5 linked regions of the Mus musculus genome follow. The protein of the gene in region 3 interacts with the protein of the main gene of each other region in a pairwise test. Links are inferred from orthologs where the notes say so. Each region holds a gene or a part of one and is shown on either strand. Other genes may lie near its edges.

Evidence for each region.
Region 1: the proteins of Ldoc1 (region 3) and Lats1 interact in a two-hybrid assay, tested with the Homo sapiens proteins (2 studies listed by BioGRID and IntAct). The two-hybrid records come from large-scale screens. The link is inferred for Mus musculus from reciprocal best matches to the Homo sapiens genes LDOC1 and LATS1.
Region 2: the proteins of Ldoc1 (region 3) and Poll interact in a two-hybrid assay, tested with the Homo sapiens proteins (2 studies listed by BioGRID and IntAct). The two-hybrid records come from large-scale screens. The link is inferred for Mus musculus from reciprocal best matches to the Homo sapiens genes LDOC1 and POLL.
Region 4: the proteins of Ldoc1 (region 3) and Bysl interact in binary tests that used the Homo sapiens proteins (3 or more experiments, as listed by UniProt). The two-hybrid records come from large-scale screens. The link is inferred for Mus musculus from reciprocal best matches to the Homo sapiens genes LDOC1 and BYSL.
Region 5: the proteins of Ldoc1 (region 3) and Dppa4 interact in binary tests that used the Homo sapiens proteins (3 or more experiments, as listed by UniProt). The two-hybrid records come from large-scale screens. The link is inferred for Mus musculus from reciprocal best matches to the Homo sapiens genes LDOC1 and DPPA4.

Annotation. Positions count from the first base shown.
Region 1 is NC_000076.6:7,711,454-7,715,534, forward strand, and holds part of Lats1 (serine/threonine-protein kinase LATS1), read left to right. Parts: intron 1-1,047; coding exon 1,048-1,557; 3' UTR 1,558-4,081. UniProt on the Homo sapiens protein: Negative regulator of YAP1 in the Hippo signaling pathway that plays a pivotal role in organ size control and tumor suppression by restricting proliferation and promoting apoptosis.
Region 2 is NC_000085.6:45,550,825-45,555,424, reverse strand, and holds the end of Poll (DNA polymerase lambda), read left to right. Parts: intron 1-205; coding exon 206-334; intron 335-1,747; coding exon 1,748-1,916; intron 1,917-2,101; coding exon of another isoform or gene 2,102-2,175; exon of another isoform or gene 2,176-2,254; coding exon 2,255-2,619; 3' UTR 2,620-3,150; downstream 3,151-4,600.
Region 3 is NC_000086.7:61,707,238-61,712,057, reverse strand, and holds Ldoc1 (protein LDOC1), read right to left. Parts: upstream 2,448-4,820; 5' UTR 2,349-2,447; coding exon 1,893-2,348; 3' UTR 1,108-1,892; downstream 1-1,107. UniProt on the Homo sapiens protein: May have an important role in the development and/or progression of some cancers.
Region 4 is NC_000083.6:47,604,043-47,609,247, forward strand, and holds part of Bysl (bystin), read right to left. Parts: intron 2,960-5,205; coding exon 2,797-2,959; intron 352-2,796; coding exon 213-351; intron 1-212. UniProt on the Homo sapiens protein: Required for processing of 20S pre-rRNA precursor and biogenesis of 40S ribosomal subunits. May be required for trophinin-dependent regulation of cell adhesion during implantation of human embryos.
Region 5 is NC_000082.6:48,289,480-48,294,684, reverse strand, and holds the end of Dppa4 (developmental pluripotency-associated protein 4), read right to left. Parts: intron 3,672-5,205; coding exon 3,371-3,671; intron 1,775-3,370; coding exon 1,579-1,774; intron 987-1,578; coding exon 953-986; 3' UTR 393-952; downstream 1-392. UniProt on the Homo sapiens protein: May be involved in the maintenance of active epigenetic status of target genes. May inhibit differentiation of embryonic cells into a primitive ectoderm lineage.

The sequences.
Region 1 (4,081 bases), on a different chromosome or scaffold from region 3:
CAACATTAAGAATTTTTATGTTTTTTAAAATGATTTATTTTACTTATATACTACACTGTAAGCTAGCTGTCTTCAGACACACCAGAAGAGGGCATCAGATCCCATTACAGATATGGTTGCTGAGAATTGAACTCAGAACCTCTGAGCTCTCAGTGCTCCTAACTGCTGAGCCATCTCTCCAGCCCCCGAATTTTTATGTTTTAAAGTATTTCAGATTTTGAAGTTTTTGGATTGGGAATGTTCAACCTGTTTAAGCCTAGCATAGCTTTACACACCTTAAATTCCAGGACTTGTTAGACAGAGGAAGATCTCTGTGAGTACCAGGATAGCCTGGTTTACTTAGCAAGTTGCACAACAGCCAAGGCTACTAGATCCTGCCTGTCTCAAAAATCAACAAATGGGGATGGAGAAATGGCTCAGCAGTTAACAGCACTGACTGCTCTTCTGAAGGTCCTGAGTCCAGCAACCACATGGTGGCTCACAACCATCCATAATGAGATCTGATGACCTCTTCTGGAGTGTCTGAAGACAGCTACAGTGTACTTACATATAATAATAAATAAGTCTTTGGGCTGGAGTGAGCAGAGGTCCTGAGTTCAAGTCCCAGCAACCACATGATGGCTCACAACCATCTCTCCAGGTACAGTGTACTCATACATAAAATAAATAAATATTTTTAAAAAAATCAAACAAATGGCTGGGCAGCAGTGGCATAGGCTCTCAGGAAGCAGAGGCAGAGGCAGGCGGATCTCTGAGTTAGCAGACAGCCTGGTCTACAGAGCTAATCCCAGACAGCCAGGGCTACACAGAGAAACCCTGTCTCAAAACACAAAACAACAAATATCAAACCAAAGCAAACAACCTTACTGTGACTCTTCTCACGGGGAGAGGACAGGAGAGTATATGTTTTCAGCAGTGATTATTATTAAAGGTAAAGTACCCGGCAGATCATTTAGAAAACCAAGTAGTCCAGGAAGACATTTGGTACAAAACCTGGGAAATTACTGTGTTTTATCTCTTCCTAATTTTTAAAACTCTTCTCTAAAGGTTATCAACTGGCAAACTTCTCTTCACATCCCTCCTCAAGCTAAGCTGAGTCCTGAAGCCTCTGACCTCATTATCAAACTTTGTCGAGGACCAGAAGACCGCCTCGGCAAGAACGGTGCTGATGAGATAAAGGCTCATCCATTTTTTAAGACCATCGATTTCTCTAGTGATCTGAGACAGCAGTCTGCTTCATACATCCCTAAAATCACGCATCCAACAGATACATCCAATTTCGACCCTGTTGATCCTGATAAATTGTGGAGCGATGGCAGCGAGGAGGAAAATATCAGTGACACTCTGAACGGATGGTATAAAAATGGGAAGCACCCCGAGCACGCTTTCTATGAGTTCACCTTTCGGAGGTTTTTTGATGACAATGGCTACCCATATAATTATCCAAAGCCTATTGAGTATGAATACATTCATTCACAGGGCTCAGAACAACAGTCTGATGAAGATGATCAACACACAAGCTCCGATGGAAACAACCGAGATCTAGTGTATGTTTAATAAACTAGGAGATCATTGTAAGAATTTGCAAGAGGCCTGAAGTGCAGGGGTTTTTGAAGTTTTGAGAAAATTATGCAAATGTGACAGAGTTTGTGTGCTCTGTGTACAATATTTTATTTTCCTAAGTTATGGGAAATTGTTTTAAAATGTTAATTTATTCCACCCTTTTAATTCAGTAATTTAGAAAAAATTGTTATAAGGAAAGTAAATTATGAACTGAGTATTATAGTCAATTCTTGGTACTTAAAGTACTTAAAAAATAGTGCTCTGTTTAAAAAGAGAAGCCTGGTATCTTTTGTATATATGATAAATAATTTTAAAATTCAAGAATTTTTGAAGATTTTTGAAAGACAGTTTTATCTTGCTTTAACCAAATATGAAATATAACCATATTTCCCTTGTAACTTTGGGTTTAGTTCCCAATACGCTAAAGAAATCAAGCCGTTGTTTTAGAAGGTAAGGTGTTCCTAGAGTAATTTTAATCTTGAAGTCATATCCTGTAATCACAAATACAGAGCAAAAACAATATGTTCACTAGAAATAATGCAGCTTACCCCTTCCCTCCCCAGAAGTCTTCAACCTAACCTAGCATTTTTCTTTCAGATACCGGCTTTAAAGAAGCCAGAGCACTGCTAGTTTTGTTTCCAGATTGGTATTAATGCTGCTTCCAGTTTTTGTTTTATTGGGATTTTTGTTTTGGTTTGGTTTTGGGTTTTTTTTCGAGGGGTGGGGGTATTGTTTTGTTTTGATTTTTTTTTTTTTGTTTTGGTTTGGTTTTTTGGGGGGCAGGGGATTGAGACAGGGTTTCTCTGTGTAGCCCTGGCTGTCCTGGAACTCGCTCTGTGACCAGGCTGGCCTCAGACTCAGAGGTTCACCAGACTCTGCCTCCCCCGAGAGCTGGAATTAAAAGTGTGTGCCACCACACCCAGCTGTTTCCAGTTTTAAAAGGGAACAAAGTTGCCATGAATTGAATTTTCAAACTGAAACTAAGATCTGTAATATTTGTATCTTAAAATTAGAAGAAAAATTTCCATCTCCTAAGTAAAGAAATTATTTTCAGTTTGTAATTTTTTTTTTTAATTTACGTGTATGTACTCACTAAGAAAGTACATTTTCTAGGGGCTAAGGATATGGCTCAGTGGTAGAGCACTTGCCTAACATACACAAAGCCTTGGGTTCAGTCCCTAGCCCCTGCCACATAAAGGTACCTTTGTTGTACAGTGACCAATCTTGATTGTGTCATTGATGCTATAGATTTCCTTTTTCAGAACAGTGCTACAATACAAATTGTTGGCAAAGGAAATGTAACTATTTGGCACTATTATACCTAAGAGTAGATTAATTGGTTAAAAATAATTATTAATTAACTCTTAATTGGGATGAGCATCCCTAATTAGATACATAGTAGTTTAGAAAGTGAAAACTTCCTAAGTTATTTAAGATTAATGTCCTATTTATATAATGTTTAGGTTCTAAGGAAGAATTGTGGATCCCTAACAAACATCTTAGGAACATCTTTTAGGAAGAAGAATGGGGCTGTACTCTGACCTTAGTAAAGTTTGTATGTATATTATTTCATTTTTTCAAGGTTTATTGACATGAATTGCTTTATCAGACTTAATGTTTGTGGCTAGGAATGATGTTTACCTATCTAGCTTTCTTATAAAAGATAATTTGTTTAAAACCATATGTATAGTAAAATTAAAAGCAAAGCTATTTGTTTGAATTGGGGAGAGAGAAAAACATTATTAGCTTACACTTTCATGTTGAGCTTGGAACCTGTCACGTGTACAAGTGAGCCTTCAGACCATAGATCATTTTGAGATAAAGACTATGTGAACTCAGGCCCTACTGAAAAAAAGTGTGTATCCACACATACATTAGAAAGTGTTGCATGCACTCTCAAGAGACCCTGGGTGTGATAAAACTTCCCAGACAGCAGGTTAAAGACCTACATCCTGTGAGTCAATTGCTATATCAAAGTAAGACCTTTGATATCCTTTGACTTTATTGCACAGCGCTCAGATGAGCACGTTTGTAAACAAGTAATGATCTGCTCTTGGAATGAGCCCGTGAAAGCAACACAGCACAGACATGTCTATAACATGAAAGCAGCACAACACAGACATGTCTATAACACTGTTCTAACGGCACTGGTGTCTTGTGATTCTGAGGGCTCCTGATGAGAGCTGTCACCAGACAGTCTTCACAGCATGGAGCGTCTGAAGTCTGAAGGCCCTATGCAAAGCATGCATTGAGGGAGGTTTGGCCTGGGTCCCTCCCACAGGTCAGAAAGACAGCCCTCTGACCTTCGGGCTCTTCACTCAGACTGACATTTTCATTTAGTGGTTTTACACCTGGATCATGTTCACAACGCAGGACTGCTAAGGTGCTGCCCCTCCCCACGACCATGGTGCCTCAGAATGTAAACACTAATTCTACGTCCTTCTTTGCTTCCCTCGGACAGTATAAGCTTCTAGCGTTTGTCTGAGGCAGTATACAAGGATTCGGTATCTGCAATTTT
Region 2 (4,600 bases), on a different chromosome or scaffold from region 3:
GTTAGTGAGCGTGAAGCCCTGACCCATTTTAGACCGAGGAATGAGGGACCAGCATGCCCAGATCACGTCCCACTGAATAGAGGCTGGACTTGATTGGTCCTGCCTTCTGTCTTCCATGGCAGCTGCTGTGACAGCCACCCATGACTTCTGGCCTGTTTATTAGTCCTGGGTCCTCATAGCCTCTTTTCTGGTTGCTTTCTTCCAGGGCTTCCGAAACCTAGAAGATCTCCAAAGCCTGGGCTCCCTGACCGCTCAGCAGGCCATTGGCTTGAAGCACTACGATGACTTCCTGGACCGCATGCCCAGGGAGGAGGCTGCGGAAATTGAGCAGACGGTAGGCACAGCTCGAGCCAACAGCTCCTGAAGCCCTAGCTGGGCAACCCCACAGGCAGCGGAAGTTAAGAGGTCGACAGAGATTGTGTCTACCAGAGCTGTAGGTCCAGGAACCCCAGGTGGGGTGGGCACTGCAGTGGCAGCCCTCTGGTCTCAGGGTCACTAAGCATGAACTCTGGGCACTAGTCGCCTAGCATGGGGCAAGCACAGCCTCAAGGCCTGAGTACAATCAAGGCCTGAGTATGTCGTTCAGAGGTAGCGCTCCTGAGCATGCCTAAGACCCTGCCCATCCTCAGCATCACAGAAAGGGGGAAAAAAAAAACAAACAAAAAACATCTAGTTGGCCAAGAAATCAGGTTTAGCCAAGTTAAAGGTTCAGCTTAGAGCTAGGGGCTGAGTCTGTAAGTTCATGTGCAGGGTTGAGTCAAGAGAGACGGGGTATACCAGATGTCTGCTATTTGTATAGTGGCATTGGGAGCAGGCTGGTACATGGGCAGGGGTCTTGGTGAGTGACAGATGAACCAGTCTGTTAGCAGAAGGATCGGAGAGACCTAGTGAGGAAGAATAAGCCTCCACCAGCGCCCACAGATGGAACTATGGGACCGGTGCTGGATGGATAGACCCATCACAGAGCTGCGGTGCTAATGCGGACCCCTGCACTCAGCTACGGTGTCCGGGCACAGAGAATGCCCTGGTCAGCCGCCAGCTCCTAGCCCATCAGAAGAGACCGGCTTCCCCACTGCAGGCTGCCTGCAAGCAGGGCTCCAGCTGTAGGGATTCCGGTGGGATTGCTCAACCAGACGGCCTCTTCCCATTCTCCTGGGAGGTCCAAGAAGGGATTGAAGGGACCAGCAGAACTATGTCAGGGCAATTGGGGTGTCCTGGCTGTGAGCACCCAGGGCCCCTGAAACTGCAGTGTCCTGCAGAGGGGGCGGGCTAGGTCTCTCAGGTCCTTCTTTAACAGGCCGGCCTCACCCCTCCAAGAACGGTGTGGGCAGCTCCTGGCCTCCCCTTCCCACAGGTGCAGTGGTATTTCGTGCTTCATTTTCTCCCAGCCGGGTTGGAGGCTGTCTGCCAGCCACCTGCTCAGGCCTCGACCCTGAGCTTCCACACAGCCATCAGCTACAGGCTGCTTGAGCTGCATGGGCGTGGCCTTTGTGATTGGCAGGCCTTTCACAGGCCTGGCCACTGGATGTGAGTCGGGGGCCAGAACCCACGGAGTGTCACTCGGCTCTTGCACAGGAGCCTTCTGCTGAGGCAGAGCCAATGTCCTCAGGCCTCTAACAGGCTTGCCTCTCCAGTGCCCCGGCACGTCCCCTCAGCTTAATATGAATCCCGGGGGAAGGCTGGGGCGAAGGCTGGGTGCTGTCCTGGGAGAGGCCTCAGACTCTCACCCCTCCCTGTTCTTCCCCAGGTCCGGATATCAGCCCAGGCCTTCAACCCTGGGCTGCTGTGTGTGGCTTGTGGCTCTTACCGACGGGGGAAGATGACGTGCGGGGATGTGGATGTACTCATTACTCACCCCGATGGCCGATCCCACCGGGGCATCTTCAGCTGCCTCCTTGATAGCCTTCGGCAGCAAGGTATCCATTTTGACTTTGGGTGAGCAGGCTACCAGTGGGCAGCCACCTCCTAGCAGTCACTTCCAAGTTCTCGATTTGAGACAGACTGGGTGGGAAAGGGCTCTGCAAGAATCCTACCTCTCCTGGGGCCAAAGACAATAAAACAGGGGCAGATCTCACCTGATGACACTGCCCGCTTTCCACAGATGAGGAATTGGGCCCAGAGGGGCGAGGCCACTCAACTCAACACACAAATAGGCACAGGGTATGCTGGGAATAAAGATCCTTAGGCAACCTGAGAAGGTGAGACTATCAGGCCTGGCTCCCTGCCCTACCAGACATCCCTTGTGTTGGACCAGGGTTCCTCACAGATGACTTGGTGAGCCAGGAGGAGAACGGCCAACAGCAGAAATACCTGGGTGTGTGCCGGCTCCCAGGGCCCGGGAAGCGCCACCGGCGACTGGACATCATCGTGGTACCCTACTGTGAGTTTGCCTGTGCCCTGCTCTACTTCACCGGCTCTGCCCACTTCAACCGGTCCATGAGAGCTCTGGCCAAGACCAAGGGCATGAGCCTGTCGGAGCATGCGCTCAGTGCAGCTGTAGTCCGGAACAGCCAAGGTGTCAAGGTGGGGCCTGGACAAGTGCTGCCCACCCCCACGGAGAAGGACGTCTTCAAGCACTTAGGCCTGCCCTACCGGGAGCCAGCTGAACGGGACTGGTGACCTAGGACTTGGAGCAAGGGGAACCATGTTGAATGAACTGACTCATGTAGCCATCTCCCACCCTCTTAGCTGTGCCTCGCTTTGTAGGTTACGCTTGCCCTGAGTGACCAAGCTAGGAGCTTTGGGCCTGCGGGGAAGAGCCAGTCTGATTCTGAGAGCCCGCAAGCTCTCTCTCCTGGACAGGATTTATGCTGCTGTCCCCTCTCCTCCCAGTGACAGGTTTTCACACGGCCCCTTCCCTGTTCAAGCAGAACAGGTGGCTGGTTTCAAGGCGGTTTCCTGCACTGAAGGCCCGAGCTTCCCTTTCCACCCCAAGACTGATGTAGCTGTGTGGGGTCAGCAGGGGCTGCAGGAGAGGGAAGCAGCTGTGGGCTCAGCGTCTTCCGTGAGCCTTCACAGTAGAGAAAGCCATGTGGATTCTCTCACCCGCTCACTTCCTGTGCAGCTGGAGCTGCTGGGGGTGGCCTGTCCAGACCATGAGGGTGGCTTCTAAGGGCCCTGGGGCCTAATAAAGTGCTTCTGACATTCAAATTGCCTGCTGTCTGTGAGCTGCTCCAACCCCACCTGTTTGTCCTCCATTCCAGCAGAACAAAGATGGGAGGGGCTCACTGTCAGAAACCCACTGACTGCCTTCTAGTCCAGCCTGGGGTACAGGGTAAGAGGGGGAATTGGAGTCGATACAAGGGGCCCCTCTCAGTCCTCTCTGTGGCCCTAAGATGGGACTATTGTGGGACATGAGCCAAGGTGACAAGTTTGAAGGAAACAGTAAGAGATGCCATGCAGGAGTGACCTGGAAAAGGAGCAGGCAGGGTAGTAAGGAGGTGACCATCTAAGAGGTCACGAGACTTTAGGACCAGTTAGGAACCAGTCATAGGGAGGATGCTGGGGTTGGGGAGATCTGGCTCCACGGTTTGATTGATGGCCCAGATTGTAGTGAGCCCGCAGTGTATACACTTCTGAGTTGGGCTTACGAGTCAGGGAAAGCGGGCAGAGGTGGAAAAATTGATGGATCCAGAGTCAGAAAGCTTCCTAGAGAGACCCCAGGACCCACTGGGAGATTGTGGGGTAAAACATGAGGCAAGCTTAAGCCCAGATAGTCTGTGGAGTATGAAGGGCGTGTGTGTGTGTGTGTGTGTGTGTGTGTGTGTGTGTGTGTGTGTGTGTGTGTAGAAGGGTGTGTATGCATGTTTCTATATAAAGGTGGGCATGTGTTTCGGTAGAAACCCAGAATTGGTTTTTGTTTCCTTGATCTCAGTCCTGGCCTCCTTTTTGTTTGTTTGGGTTTTGTTGTTGTGTCTGTTTGTTTGTCTGGGCAGTGGTACATACCTGTAATTGCAGATACTCAGAAGGCAGGAAAGTCATAAGTTCTGGGCTAGCCTGGGCTATGTAGGAAGTTCAAGGCATCTCAAAGAGAATAAAACAGTTCTGGATGCTAGCATCTTGCGATCAGACCTTCAGCTCAAGCCCGTATCCCTGACACCAAAGCTAGAGGACCTCCCCTGCATAGGTCATGCTGGGAAAAATGACCAATCGTGAACAAGCCGCGTCCAAGGATCCAAAGCTCCGTGAGGGGCCTTTCTTTCTGTGGACTTTCATTTCTGCATAGAGTGGCTCCTTTTTGTTTGTTTGGGTTTTGTTGTTGTGTCTGTTTGTTTGTTTGCTTGCTTGCTTTTCAAGACAGGGTTTCTCTGTATAGTTCTTGGCTGTGCCAGAACTGTTTCTGTAGACCAGGATAACCTCAAACTCAGAGGTTGCCTCTACCTCCAGAGTGCTGGAATTAAAGGTGTGCGCCATCACTGCCCACTTTAGCTTCTGGTTCTTTTTTTTTTTTTTAAAAGATTGATTTATTTATTTTATGAGTGCACTATAGCTGTCTTCAGACACACCAGAAGAGGGCATCAGATCCCATTACAGATGGTTGTGAGTCACCATGTGGTTGCTAGGAATTGAACTTAGTACTGGTGGAAGAGCAGTCAGTGCT
Region 3 (4,820 bases):
GCCTCTTTGTTGAGTCTTCCCTACCCCCATCTGTCTCCACTCTCAAGAAAGTAAGTGTCCTGAGGCCTGAAAAAGACTCCCGCTCTGATCTTTGTGTATTTACCAGATAAAACACTTGTCTTGCTGGTATCTTGTAAGAGCCCCAAAGAGAATGGGCCCCTGTCACAGTTTTATTTCCACTCTACTTAGTTCCTGGTAACCTTGACATATTCCTATTACAGCCAGTCCTCAAGCAAGCATGCTGCTAGCTGAGCCTTTGCTGCTATGGCCTGGAAGGAACTACCCATGCTTATAGGGTGCTAAAAATGTAGCTGGCATTGCTCCAAATGCCTGTGGACAGGATCTAGCCCACACCTGTCAGGTTACTCATATGATGACCAGCGCCCCCCATTTCATTCCTCCCTGAGGTTTAGCAGCTTAATAAATAAGTGTGGTCATGCCTGAAACTCTTAAACCACGATGTATTATTTAAATTAATTAAAAGTTCTATGTCTGAATTCGCTTTTAAACCAGTAAAATGACATTCAGGCAGATTCAGGAAACCCTAGATCTTTCCAATATTTCCTGGTTACCGTGTATACCCCTTTACCAAGTTCATTTCAGCAGGGTAACATAATGGACTGACACACAAACAAAGCTGGGCAGATAATTCTCAGTACCTACCCTCTGGACTGTCTGAGAGATGTCAACTCACAAACTCCAGTCCAGGTTCTAGCTCAGGAGACATAAGCATCTTGCTAATTGCCACCCACAGGAAAGAAGGACAATGGATAAAACTTCTCTGCCATGTTAGGAAACTTCACTGTGCCCAGTAATATGCCTCTACTGTCAGTCTAAATGTTAATAATGTCCCTTTATTTCTCCAAAGTGACCTAATTTAAGATGATAGCCCCCCTACCCAGCCACCCTTTATATGTCACCTTGGAAGCCCCAGACAATGCTCCTTCACCACAGCTTTTAAAACCCTATGACAGGGCCCCCTGGAGCCCAAAAATGAAAGTGAGAATACTGGGATTGAACCAAGTTCCCCAACCACAATGAAATAATGGAGGTGAGTCACAATAGCCAATGGTAGCACTTAACCATGAAAAGACAACAGTTTGCTGCTAGTTTTGCAGTGCTTGATATTTATTGCAAAGAATTACATTGCTTTTTTCAAGTACTAGAGAGGATCTGGGCTGAATGCCTGTCCGTTTGCTTTTATTTTAGTAGTCCTTGTCCACATGGACACATCTGTGAGGCTGCTGCAGTTCTGAAAGGAAACGTGCTGTGCAAAACTGATGCATAGGAGAAAAGACATGTCAACATTTTAACTGTCCGGCAGGCACATCAGGTTCCTGTTCTGGTCAGGCAGATGTGGAACCTGGTAGTACGTACAGAACTAACCAGTCGGTAAAGACTGGCTGGCCCCTTCAAGGTTTGGTGAGTAGTCCAAAACAGAGTCTGAATGGGTGGAGTAGCAACTCCATCATCTTCTTGGTCCTTATCTTGAAAAGTGCTTCAGATGAAATTCGGTGAGTGGAGGTGAAATGTCAGGAATCTGCTTCTGGGCAGATGGCGGACTGGCCTGAGTTCCAGTGGATGTCAGCAGCAGGAATGCAGGTGGTCTGACCAGTTCTAATAGGGACCTGGAAAATCGCTGGAACTCCGAACAGAGTTCAGATTAGGATAAGTGCCTGAGGCCAAAGTGAGTTTCAGAGCAAGGTCCAGGCCCAACTCACAGCAGGTAACTGGAACAAAGACAAGTCCTGAAGGGAATGATGGAGCAAACAGACTGGCGGGGAAGAGGATGGCCATGCAAAGGGAGAGATTGAGGCAGCAGGAATGGCGGGTGGGGGGTTGGAATGAAAAGGCGTGAAGGCCCCCACCTCTAGGCCTAAGGGGGCTCCGGCCTAGTGATCTTCCTCCATTTCTTCCTCTTCATCATCATCACCATCATCTTCGTCGTCGGTACCCCAGCCAAAATACTGCTTCATCTCATCAACAAAGGCCTGATAATCACCGAGGACGTAGCTATTTGACTCGATGTAAGGCATCACCCACTCCTCAGCTTCCCCGGAGAGGAGGCTGATCAAGAATGCCACTTTCATGGCATCATTGCAGAAGTGCTCCTCATTCGCAAGCATGTAAGACATGGTCTGCATGATAAACTCAGGGAGCCGACCACTCTCGCCGCTAAACCGTGAGGGGTAGGGCACCGGACAGCTCGGTGGACATACCTGGCGCAGCAGCCTGGCCCGCTCACACACCAACAGTCGCAGCTGCTTCAGGAGCTGGTGGTTCTCCATGCACAGGGCTTGGTGCCTATCCAGAAGCGCGTGCAGAAGCGACAGCAGCTCTTCCACCATGGTTAACTGCTTGGACGGTCTCGGTCTCGGTCTCGGTCTCAGTCTCGGATCGGCTCCACGGAGCTGCACAGAGAGGCTGAGCAGGAAGTGCGGGTCCTCAGAGGAGTGCGGACCCTGGGCAATAAATGGAGGGGTCCCAGCCAGCGGCAGAAACTCCACCCACAGGGTCACTTTACAAACCTGTGCGCTAGCGCAGTGCGGTAAGGAAGGTGTGGCTGGGAAGGGTGCGGGATGGCGTGGGGGCGTGGTCAGGGTGGGACTGGTGGCCAGAGTGGATGTGGCTGAGGAGGAGCAGGGCGTGACCCAGGAGCTTCGCTGCGGGGTCCCGCCAGTTCTTCCACCTGGAAGTAGGAAGGCTGAGGGAGCAAAGCTTGCCACAGTGGAGAACAGATGCTCAGCCCTCAGGGCTGGCCTGCTCCAGCTGAAACTTTTCTGCAGGCAGCCTGTTCATCTAATTCAGTGTTCCTTTGTGGGTCTGTGGCCATCAGCTTCTTTAAAGTGATCCTTTCTTAACACATTTTTTTTTCTTTTTTTACTTTTTATTGGATATTTCTTTATTTACATTTCAAATGGTATCCCCGTTCCCGCCTCCCTCCCCTCAAAACTCCCTATCCCATCCTCCTCTCCCCCTGCTTCTATGAGGGTGTTCCTCCACCCACCCACCCACTCCCATCTCCCCTCCCTCGAATTTCCCTACACTGCGGTCTCCAGCCTTCACAGGACCAAGGGTCTCTCCTCCTTTTGATGCCTGACAAGGCCATCCTCTGCTACATATGCGTCTGGAGCCATGGGTCCCTCCATGTATACTCTTTGGTCGGTGGTTTAGTCCCTGGAAGCTCTGGGGGTGAGGAGTGTCTGGTTGGTTAACACATTTCCTTGCTCATTTAAATCTCACTCGGAGAAATAACGCTGACTCTGTGGGCCACCGTGCAGGAGGTCATTTGGGTTCCAAGTCTAAAAGACTCACAGGTAGACTCACTTTCATTAAATAAATAAATAGTATGCAACAAAAGACTTCTCTTTGACAAGCAATTTTGTTAACAAGATTTGCAAACACCAACCAAAGAGAAAGCACAGGCTGGACCTAGGCCTTCCTGCACACATGTAGCAGATGTGCAGCTTGGTCTTCTTGGAGGTTCCCCAACAACTGGAGCAAGGGCTGTCCCTGTGTCTGCTGCCTGCCTGCTTGAGGACCCAGTTACTCTAAATGGTTTGGCTTGTCTGTCCTCATTTGGAGAGGGTTTGACTTGTTGGGTGTGTGTGTGTGGAGGAGGATGTTATTTTGTGAGGATTTTTATTCTCAAAAGAGAAGAGAAGGTGGAATGGAGGAAAGACCTAGGAGAGGGGACACTGGGAGGAGAGGAGCGGGTTGATATTGAGATGTAAAGTGAAAAAAATAAATAAATTTAATAAAAAAGAAAAAAGAATGTCCTCCCCCCAAAAAAAGATTTATAAAATGTATACAGGGTGTCCACTTGTAAACATCCTATCTTTGATTCTTATCATGTCCTGTTTATGAGTACCTTTGTTCCTGTGTAGTTAAACTACCATGTGCACTGTTAAATAAGCCTGTCTGCCTAGTTTGAATGTGATTAGTTGTTGATAACTAAGTTTCGTTCTGGGTCATCAAGCTGATACACAATGGGTCTGCTTTTAAAAATATATCTCCAAATTCAATCAATTCTGGTCCTATCTGCTACCCTGCTACATCGAATCCCTTAGCTGCCAGCCTTGCCCTTTAGCAGCATGCACTCTGTACAGTAAGTTGCCCAGAACACTTTAAAAGGTGAGTTAGACCCTTTCACTTCCCTGTTCAAGGCCTTCCAATAGTTTTTCCCTCTCTGCTTTTCCCAGTAAAAAGCAAACTCTTGGTCATAACATACAAGGTCCTGCTTCTCCTTGCTATCTTCACCTGACCTCCTGTTAGGTTCTATTGCTGACCTGCCTATGGATTTCCACACATATCAGACAGTTCTAGCCTCTGCCCTTCTACCCATCCTATTTCCCTTTTAGCAGCCTAACTCATTTTTATACTGCTTTGAGAAAGGTCTTCCCAGCTATCTCATCTATATTTGAATTGTCTTCTCTATCAGCAATTTGTGGCTCCCACCCTATTTCAACTATCTATATAGTAACCATCATATTAAATGTCAACATTATCACCTGCCTCCACTTTTAAATATAAGACAGTGCAGTAGAGGGGCTTGGTTTTGCCCAGAGAAGGGACTCCCCAGATATCTGGCAAAGGAAAGGATCTTGAGAGACAGGTGTTTCAATAATAATTAAGAGAAGTGGCTGCACAGTGTGTCCAAAAACATTCTCCAATTGTCTATTATGTTCTAGCTTCGACCATACCAAAATTTTCTTTGAAAAAATAATCGCTGATGAAATAAAAATGACGAAGTATCTTTGAAAGCAGTCTTTTTAGTTATTCCTTTAAAATAGAAGAGAAATGACATCCATGGGAATGGG
Region 4 (5,205 bases), on a different chromosome or scaffold from region 3:
TCACTCATCTCCAGAACCATCTAGAAAGCCTCGTTCTCCGGGTGACCGGAGTTTAGTAGACTTCCAGGGTCAATAAGAGACAGTGCAAGAACCTGAGCCTATCAGCTCTCCCCCAATCCTGTTCTGATCGCCATGGCTTATTTGGTGGGGGCCATGGATGAGAGCCCACCCCGAGTCAGGATATCCCAGCACACACACCACTTAGCTCTTACCTCCCGGACTCCTCGGTAAACTTCCAGGACCCGGGGATCCAGCTGAGGCATAGGGAAGCCCGATACCTCTGACATGACAGTCTCCACCTCTGTCTGCTTCTCCGTCAACTTCTCCATGATGATATCAGCCAGGGTGCGCCTATGGAGACACGGGAAAAAGAGAGGTGGAAAGAATTGGGGTCACTTTCCATGAAACTGTAACGTCCCCTCAACCTGTTTTTTATCTTTGTTGTTGTTATTTGACACAGGGGTTTTATGTCTAGCTTTGCCTGTCTTAGAACTGGCTCTGTAGACAAGGCTGACCTCAGACTCAGAGATCCACTTGTTTCTGCCTCCTTTGTGCTGGGATTAATGGTATGCCTGGCTCTGTTTATTAAAAAAGAAAGGCAGTAGTGGTGGTGTAAGCCTTTAATCCCAACACTTGGGAGGCAGGCAGATCTTTGTGAGTTGAAAGGTCAGCATGGTCTTCATAGGGAGATCTAGGCCAGACAGCAAGCCCCGTCTCAGAGGGGAAAAAGAAAGTCACAAAACATCCCCAAACAAAACAAGAATGCTTCACAAACTTGCATGTCCTCCTTGCATGGGGGCCACGTCCCTGTCACTGTTCTAATTTTAGTGTACGGGAAGCTGGAAGCGAGCAATGTATAATTCCCCTGGACGCTGACAAATCTCGATCCCGCTGGGATGCACAGCCTCAGTTCCCCTCTATGTCCATTTAGCCGCCTCAAAGTGCTGCAGAGCACGGGCCCTGGATGTCTCTGCATCTGACGCAGAGCCAGAGTGGTGGGGACGTTAGGCCCTTAGGCCCTGAAGTCAGCTCCGGCTCTTCTGGTCCTTGTATGATCCTGGGCCCGTCACTTGACTCCTCTAAGCCTCAGTTTCCTCATCTGTAAACTGGGGAAGTAAAAGGACCCCCCTGGACAGTCAGCTGAAGGGTAAAATCTAAGACTGCAGCAGGCCCGACTCTCAGCCAGAGCCAGCAGGTCCTGAGGGCTGTTTACTTCAAGCTCACCTCCCACTGCTCACACAACGGGGAGCAACTTCTGAGTGCAGAGTGGAGCTCTGTGCCAGGCAGCGCTGGTGCACACCTTTCATCCCAGCGCTCAGAAGGCAGCGGCAGGCAGAGTTTTGTGAGTTCAAGGCCAGCCTATCCTACTCACCCAGCACTTGCCTAGCAAGGATGAGACCTGGGTTCTGGCTTCCAGCACAAGGGGAAAAAGTTTCTCTGCAGTCTTTTTCTGTGCCGAGCAGCACTGAATCTGACACTTTCCAGACTTGTGTCCTGTGGTCTGCATGACACTGGTGGCAGGTGCTTTTATTCCCCCGCACTGCCCAGGCCGGGGAATCGAGACTCAGGGCCAACCAACAACTCTCCTAAGCCCTAAGACTTTCTCAGGGAAAGGGTAAATTTTAGTCTTTCGACTTCTAGTTTGGGTGCTTCGCAGCGTCTTCAATGTGCCTTAAGTGACAAGGCCTGATTGCTGTGTTCCCAAAGACCCTTAGCCTGGTTTCTGAAGATGCCAGCAGCCACTGCTCAAGAGTGCCCACGGTCCCCCTTTCCACCATGTTGTCACTTCCGTATAGCAACTGCAGAAAACATTCTGCTAAGTTTGTCAGATCAAGAGCCACTGGGTATGAGGTGCTGCCCGAGAGCCTTTGGGGGGCACATCACACCCCATGACCATTCTCAGAGCTGTCAGACACCTTCAGGGGACAGGGTTCTCCTGTGTTCTCTGAACCCAAGCTGCTCATCACCGTACTATTAATGATAGTGGTGTACTACACCCCACTCTGAAGAATAAACTGGTTGAGCCCCTTTGCCCTAAGCCCAGTCCTCTCAATGAGGCCAGATCCATCTGAATGGAACCAAGAATCTGACCACAGGCAGCCTAAATAACTGCATGTTTAGAAGTAGCATTTATAACACATGGGGGTACGTTTGTGGTTCTACCCAGAGGTAGTTTTAACCCCTCTGGGAACATTTTGTCAGAGATAGCTGCTATTGGCCCCAACACTGTAACTGAGATGGAAAACCCTGAGTTAAAGACTAAGCTATGGGCTGGCGAGATGGCTCAGCAGGTAAGAGCACTGACTGCTCTTCCGAAGATGCTGGGTTCAAATCCCAGCAGCCACATGGTGGCTCACACCCACCCGTAATGAGATTTGGTGCCCTCTTCTGGTGCGTCTGAAGCCAGCTACAGTGTACTTATGTATAGTAAATAAATCTTTGGGCCAGAGCGAGTGGGGTTGGCCAGAATGAGTAGAAGTCCTAAAATTCAATTCCCAACAACCATATGATGGCTCATAACCATTTGTACAGCTACAGTGTACTCACATACATAAATAAATTAATCTTAAAAAAAAATAAGACTAAGCTATGAGAGTAACGTACCAAGAATAAACACTACTAAACGGATCCCCAGCTATCACAAGGAACCGGTAATCCAGAGGTTCCAGATCAGATGGGCAAAGGGGAATCCGGGTCACTCCCGTTCAGGGGCCACTCTTGGCAATGGTCAGACCAACAGCTGTGGTCTGGATGAACTTTCTACCAGGACCCACTGGTCCAACCTTTAAGCCTTACCTCACGGGAGGATTCTTGTTCATGAACATTTCAATGGCACGCTCATCTTCAGGGTCCACGATCACCTCTGCCTGGTGGTCCACCCCGGCCATTTTGGCTGCCTTCTCCAGGGTAGGCCACTCCTCATCCTCCTCATCTGATCCATCCTGTGGCAATCCCGGCCCTACAAGATAATCCCAGCCGCAGGGGCTTGTGAGTCAGTTCCCCATTCCACGTACAGCACACCCAGGGAGCAGGAGGGACACCTGCAGAGGGACTATCCTTTTGTCCCCAGAGACTTGGAATCTTGATAGAAAATACAGCACACGAAGCGAGAGATGATAAGGCCAGTAAAGACTGGATGACATGTCCCCTCAGTGAATGGATGACATGTCCCCCCTCAATGACCAAGAAGGATCCATTCTATACTACACACATGTAACCTGGTCTGTCCAGATGACCTCAAGGAATAGGTACTGTTGCTATACCCAGTTCAAACCGGGGCAGAAGAGTTGATGTGCCCACAGTAGGTAGGCACTGTGGGTCCTGACTTCCCACTATGTTGCTTGCACAGTGGAACTGCATCATGTGCTGAAACTAAAACCATGGTGGAGGCAGTGTGCACCTCAGGCACTTGGATGAGTACAGAGGCTGAGGAGGCTCTGGATGGGCAGTCTGGGAGCAAGAGCATGCTCCACGTCCTGGAAAGTAATGCTGTTAGAGTGTTGGGCACTAAGGAGCCAGAAAGGAAACGGAAAGCCAACCTGGAAGGCTCTAAGGCTGGGCAGTGGCATTCGGACTCTGATCAACCAACACATTTAAGTTACTGGCTTAGGTAGTCGAGGATGACTTGGGAGTTCCTTGTTCTCGCGCCTCCACTTTCCAAACACGCACCACAGTGCTGAAGGCTGAGCTTCTGATGTTGGGTTAATCCCGTGTGTTCCATGTAAAGGCTGCCTGTGTACTATTCACATGTTAATCTTTGTTCCAGCAGAGAGCTGAGTACAGTCGGCATTGGTTTTTTTTTTTAATGAAGCATCACCTGTCTCAGTGTTGTGGAAACTTCTTCTCCATCACCTTCTGATTGGTTTAATCAAAAGCTGAGTGGCCCATAGCAGGGCTGGAAAGGATAGGCGGGACTTCTGGGCAGAGATAGGAACTCTGGGAAAGAAATCAGATGTGAGGGGACTCAACAGCCAGACACAGAGGAAGAAACACGTGCTGTTACTGAAGAGCAGTAACGAGCCCCGTGGTTGAATGTAGACTAGTATAAAGCAATTATGTTGTATCAGCGAGTTCGGAACAAGGCAGCTAAGGCCAAGCTTTCATAACTAATAAGAGGTCTCTGTGTCCTCACTTGGGTGATAGGTGGGTTGAGCCATTCCTGCCACATCCTGAGGTCCTGACCATGGAGTCTTGGCTGGGTACTTCCTGAGTGCTGGGATTAAAGTCATGTGCCAATACACCGGGCTGACTTTTGAAATACCGCACATAGCTGGCAAGGCAGTTGGGAAAGAGTCTAATAAACCAAAGTAGTTGAATTATTACCATAGCAACAGATCAGTTGCTATGGAAGTGGACTAAGGGTATATTATATAGAGCTCCAGAGAGTACACAGAGCATACCCAGTGAGAGCCAAGGTTGTTTGTTTTAGGTTTATTTTACTTTTAATGTTTGAGTGCTGACTGCACGTATGTCTGTGCACAAGTGTGCCTGGTGTCTAATGACATCAGAAGATGGCATTTGATCCCTTGCAAATGGAGTTACAGACAGCTATAGCCTGCCATATGAATGCCAGAAACCAAACTTGGGTTTTCTGCAAGAACAAGTGTTCTGAAGAGCTGAGGACCAACTCTTGAGAGTTTTCCTCTGTTCTCTACACACATCATGCCACGCACATGCACACAAAATACATGTTAAACAAAGGAAGACAAGAGCTATGAAATACGACGTAGGGAAAAGAGAGAAAATCAGGAGACAGTCACTGACATTTGTGTGGTGTTTTGTTGTTGTGATCATTTGCTTTTTGTATATGAGTGAACCCTGCATCATGGAAGTGACTCTTGGGAGCTGATGACCTTGTTTTTGAAACAGGATTTGACTGGGACCTGGGGATAGCTGATTAGGCTAGACTGGTTGCCCAGTAGGCCCAAGAGATCTGTCTTCTACACTGTAGCTCAGAAACTACAAGCTGCTGTGAGTGGAAGTCAGGGCTCATGCTCTCTCAAAGCATGGACCTCACCAGCTGTGAGCATTATCTTATCCTGTCCCTAGCTTGTGGTCAGACCTGAAACAGAGACAGACCAGACAGGACGCCATCAATCTCTAGCTGCTGAATGGACCACAGAGGTCACAGAATTCAAAGCACGATGTTTCCACAGTGATCCAGGGGAGAGACCCTGGTAGCTTAATCAGGGAGTGTCTCAGGTG
Region 5 (5,205 bases), on a different chromosome or scaffold from region 3:
TTGAGAGATGGAGGCAGAAGCAAGGTTGGCGGTGGAATATATGACATCAAATACAACCAGCAGTCGTCCATCAGGGGATGACACTGGGACAGACAGAAGCCTAGCAATCTCACAGAAAGCTTCTGCCCTAACCAACACTCAGTCCTCTGAAGGAGCCAAGCAAGTGCGTTCCTTGTTTATTCATCTCCTTTATGGAAAAACTGTGCATTGCTGGCACAGAGGACATGAAGAAGTGGTGATGGTGGCCTTCACTGCCATCACACCGAGAGCACATGGATTGTGAGTAGCCTGCCTCTTCCTGGCTTGGGACGGTGCCCCCACCCCCACCCTACTTCCCTCTGCTCCAAGCATTGTTCCAAAGCCCTTTCAAACATGGCATCCAGACAGGGGCAGAAGGAACTCAGGGGAAATTTAACCATTCAGATAACAAAAACAAAAGCCACAAGCCAGATTTAGTGTAATATTTTACAACAGCAGAAAACAAACACAAGTATTAAACACTAACAACACACTACAACCCAGGGAAGAGGACATGCATGCGGAGGCTACAGGTATAAGCCAAGTCTTTACAGTTGACTGCTGAACTGGTTATGACGCCCGTTGTGCTGGTGACAGGACTAGCAACTATTGTTATCTGGAGATATCATCCTCCTGCCCCAGGACCTACTTGCAGCAAAACACATAGGATGTATTTTTATCTTCACAAAAGAGTAAGAGTTCACTCTCAGTGATCAGTCATCACAGCGAGCAGAGGTGGCCTCGCTGGCTTTTTTCAAACTGCGTGAACTTAAGCATCAACTAACTTACACTATCCCTTAAGTTCTGGATGAGAAAGGCACCTTCAAAGGCAGAGATGTAGATTTCTATCAGTCTCAGCGTCAGCCGCAGCTCTGCTGATCACACCACAAGAGTGAGTGACGCCAGCAGCTAGCTCAAACAAGAGATCTGTCCTTTATCCTTCGAGGCTCTTAGTCAAGATCTTGTTCCTAGAAAACAAGTGTATTTATGGATTCATTCATTTATTTATGTCTTCCTTTTCCACTTCACCACCCCCCCCACCTCTGACTGAGATCAGGCTTGCCCTGAACTCTCAATCATCCACCCCAGTCTACACTACAAGTGCTGGGATTACAAGGTGTGTCATACCCAGATCAGAGACCAGAACCAGGAAAAGGTACTAAGATCTAAAACAGACAAGAAAGATCTGTTGGGAATATATGCATGAACCGTCAAGTTTGATCCCCAGCATGGCATCTATGCCAGGCCTGGGGGGACACCTGCAATCTCAGGCTGGGAAAATAGAGACAGGACAGTGAGAATCTCTAGGTGAGCCTTGGCTCCTGGCCGTCCCAAAGGCGCACAAAAACATATTAGTGTGGCATAATGCCAAGTAGGAGGCAGAAGGTAGATTTTTGGCTCCAAGTTTGAGATTAGCAAGCACAATCTACATAGTAAGTTTCAGACCTGGAAACGCAGCACCTTGGGTGCTTACTTACACGAGCAAGATAAGTAATATTCCAACACAGCTAATTAAAATGAACCTTTCCCGCAGGCAACTTAAGTGCGCACAGCACTCACTTATGAACACACTTGGGGCACAGCATGTTGTCCTCCAGGTGTGGGGGTGGAAATGTGCAGGCCGGAAGCAGGAAGAGGGCAATGGCTTTTCCTTTCTTATCGGGTACCCAGGCTTGTCCAGCGTGGAACTGCAGCCGAACCCAACCACGCGAGTTCCCAGGAAGGCTGGTCCCATGAACCACACACCACATTTCCCCTGTGGGAGCAAAGAGAATTAACACGAACACACCAGTTTCAGCCTAGACTTGATGCCTCTCTGAAATGCCAGCCCTGAGGTAAGACTGGGAATCCAAGCTTCATCTCAATCCATCTTGTTACCTACCATGAAAGTATACAAGAAACCTCCAGGCTTTAGGGTTATCGATGTAACTCAAGTGGTAGAGTATTTCCTTTAGCCTGCATGAGTGATTCTAACACATCACACATACACCAAACAAAACTCCCAGAAAATTGCTGGTTGGTGGCTGTACAGGAATTTAATCCCAGCACTAAGGAGGTAGAGGCAGGCTGTCAGGTTGAGGTCAGCCTGATCTACAGAGCTTAGTTCCAGGACAGCCGGAGTTAGAGAAAATAAACAACAATCAAAAACCACCCTATTAAAAAAAAAAAAACCCAAGGGCTGGAGAGATGGCTCAGTGGTTAAGAGCACTGACTGCTTTTCCAGAGGTCCTGAGTTCAAATCTCAGCAACCACATGGTGACTCACAACCACCTGTAATGGGATCTGATGCCCTCTTCTGGTGTGTCTAAAGACATCTATAGTGTACTCACTCACACACACACACACACACACACACATATATATATACATATATATATATATATATAATAAATTAAAAAAAAAAAAAAAAAAACACCCAAATGGGGGCTGGAGAGATGGCTCAGTGGGCAAGAGCACCTGACTGCTCTTCCAAAGGTCCAGAGTTCAAATCCCAGCAACCATCTGTAACGAGATCTGACGTTCTCTTCTGGGGTGTCTGAAGACAGCTACAGTGTACTTACATATAATAAATAAATAAATCTTAAAAAAAAAAAAAAAGTGTTCTCAACCTCTGAGCCATCTTTCTAGCCCTAGACTCAACCACTGTTATCATGCTAAGCATGATTTTCCTTCATTGCATTTCTTTGCTATTCTTACAACCCAAGCTCTCTTATCATTTTGAAAGTCTCAGGAAGCCTGAACTCAGATGTTGGGGTCATTGGCTTATTATGACATGTCTGATTAGTTATGCTTATGTTATTGAGAAGAAAGAGTAAATTGTTAAACATCATCAACTTAACACATACCAAGAGATCCTAGTCTTCAGCCCCCCGTTCTTCAAATGAAAAAAAAAAAAAAGTAGGAAGAAAGCCTACCAAGCACATGGCTTCTTGCTTGGTGAGCGAGTAATACGAAGTTATTTTCAAAGCGTGACTTCCTGGATCAACAGCCTCGTTATCACCCGAGTAGCTCATAGAAATTCAAGGTAAAAGGTTCTTTCCTGTCTACCAGGTGATTGTGGTGCATATTCCAGCACTCAGGAGGCAGAGGCAGGAGGATCCATGAGTTCAAGGCCAGCCTGATCTACAGAGCGAGTTCCAGGACAGCCAGGGACACACAAAACCTCAAAAAAAAAAAAAAAAAAAACAAAAAACAACAAAAAAAAAACAAAAACAAAAAAACAAAACACAATGAGGATTCTTCTTACTGCAAAGGAATACTAGCTCTCAGTGAGACCCTGCCCAAAGTAGAACTTAAACACAATAGCACGGGTGAGGTCCAGGAATCACTGGTGGCTGTGACTGATTCTAACCTTTGACTTCTGATGAGGACGAAGCATCGGCTGGCACTGCCTCGTACTTCTTAGCATTGGATGCAATTCTGGCCCAAGATGCTAACACGGCCTCAGTGGCAGGTGTAGTCACTACGGTGGTGCTGACTTCCTCATAGAGCATAGGAGGGTCAATGAGGGCAGGTATCTGCTCCTCTGGCACAGGGACCATTTCCAGAGGAACTGTCACCTCAGACTCCTCCCCCGGTTCAGTCTTCATTTTTTTGTGAGCTGTCTTCAACCTGGCGTCTTTGGCTGAGTCAGGGACGTTCCTCAACTCCAGCTAGGGTATTATAGATAATGGAAAACATTAAGGGCTGACACGTCAGTGGGTAAGGTACTTGCCATGAGAGACTTGGAATTCATATCTTCATAATCCGCATATAAAGCTACACAAATGGCTCACACCTGTAATTGCAGTCTTTTTTTTTTTTTTTCTTTCCAGAGCTGAGGACCAAACCGAGGGCTTTGTGCTTGCTAGGTAAGCGCTCTACCACTGAGCTAAATCCCCAACCCCTGTAATTCCATTCTAATGCTCCTGTGATAATAGGATGGGAGGTGGAGCCAGAGACTCCTGGCCAACATTATATCCATCAGCAAGCAACAGAGACTCTGTCTTACAACAAAGAAGAAAGCAAGGACCGGATGACACCCAGCGAAGTCTTCTAACCTGTAGCACATGTGCACCCACAAGCACACACATAGAAAACTGTGATGGGGTGGGGTGGGGTGGAGGAGATGATGCAGCAGTCACAAGCACTCACTACGTTGGTAGAAAATGTGGCTTCTTCCAACCACCTGAATGGTGGTTCACTATTATAGCTCTAGATGCAGGGAACTCTGTGCCCTTATGCCAGAAGAGGGCATGCCTGTGGTCTGTTACTTGGGAGTTGGGAGGCGGTGTGTGTTTGTGTGTCTGTGTGTGTGTGTGTGTGTGTGAGAGAGAGAGAGAGAGAGAGAGAGAGAGAAGGGATTGCCTGGCCTTAGTAATTCAAGACTAACCTAGAAAATGGTTGTAAGTCCTATTCTCAAAAATCAAAATGCTGGCCAGGTACTCAGGATGCAGAGGCAGGAATTTTGCTACCAAGTTTTGGGCCAGCAAGGACTATCTAGCAAAACCCTATCTTAAAAACAGAAATTAACAAAAACAAATAAATGAGTTATCCAAGAATAGTGGCACACACCTGTAATTAAGAGTCCGAGAAAGGAGGTTCTTGAAGTTCTTAGGCCAGCCTAGGCTACATAGACTCAAAACAAAAACAAAAACAAAAACAAAAACAAAAAAACAAAAAACAAACAAAACAAAACAACAAAACCCCCACAAACAAAAACCCAAACAAAAACCAAAAGCAGGGATGGGGTGGGTTAGGGACTGTGGTGTGAGGTGCAGCGCAGTGGTAGAACATGCATTCATGCATTAAAATCCTAGATTCATTTTCCAGCACCAAAATAAAAAGGACCCACCTTACCTAGTTTTATTCATGGTCTCTCTTCCATTTGGGGATAGAGGGGGAAGAAGGGAGTCAAGGCAATCCCTCAATTTATTCTCTGATATGCCAGTTATTAGAAGAACCAGCCAGGTGTGGTGGCGCATGCCTTTCATCCCAGCACTTAGAGGCAGGCAGATTTCTGAGTTCGAGGCCAGCTTGCTTTACTAAGTGAGTTCCAGGACAGCCTGGGCTACACAGAGAAACCCTGTCTCGAAAAAACAAAAAAAAAACAAAAACAAAACAAAAAAAAAGAACCAAACCTTTCCCTCTGCCACTATCCCTTAAAGTGCAAAGTTCCATGCAGGGCTTGGAAGGCCATGTCCGTGA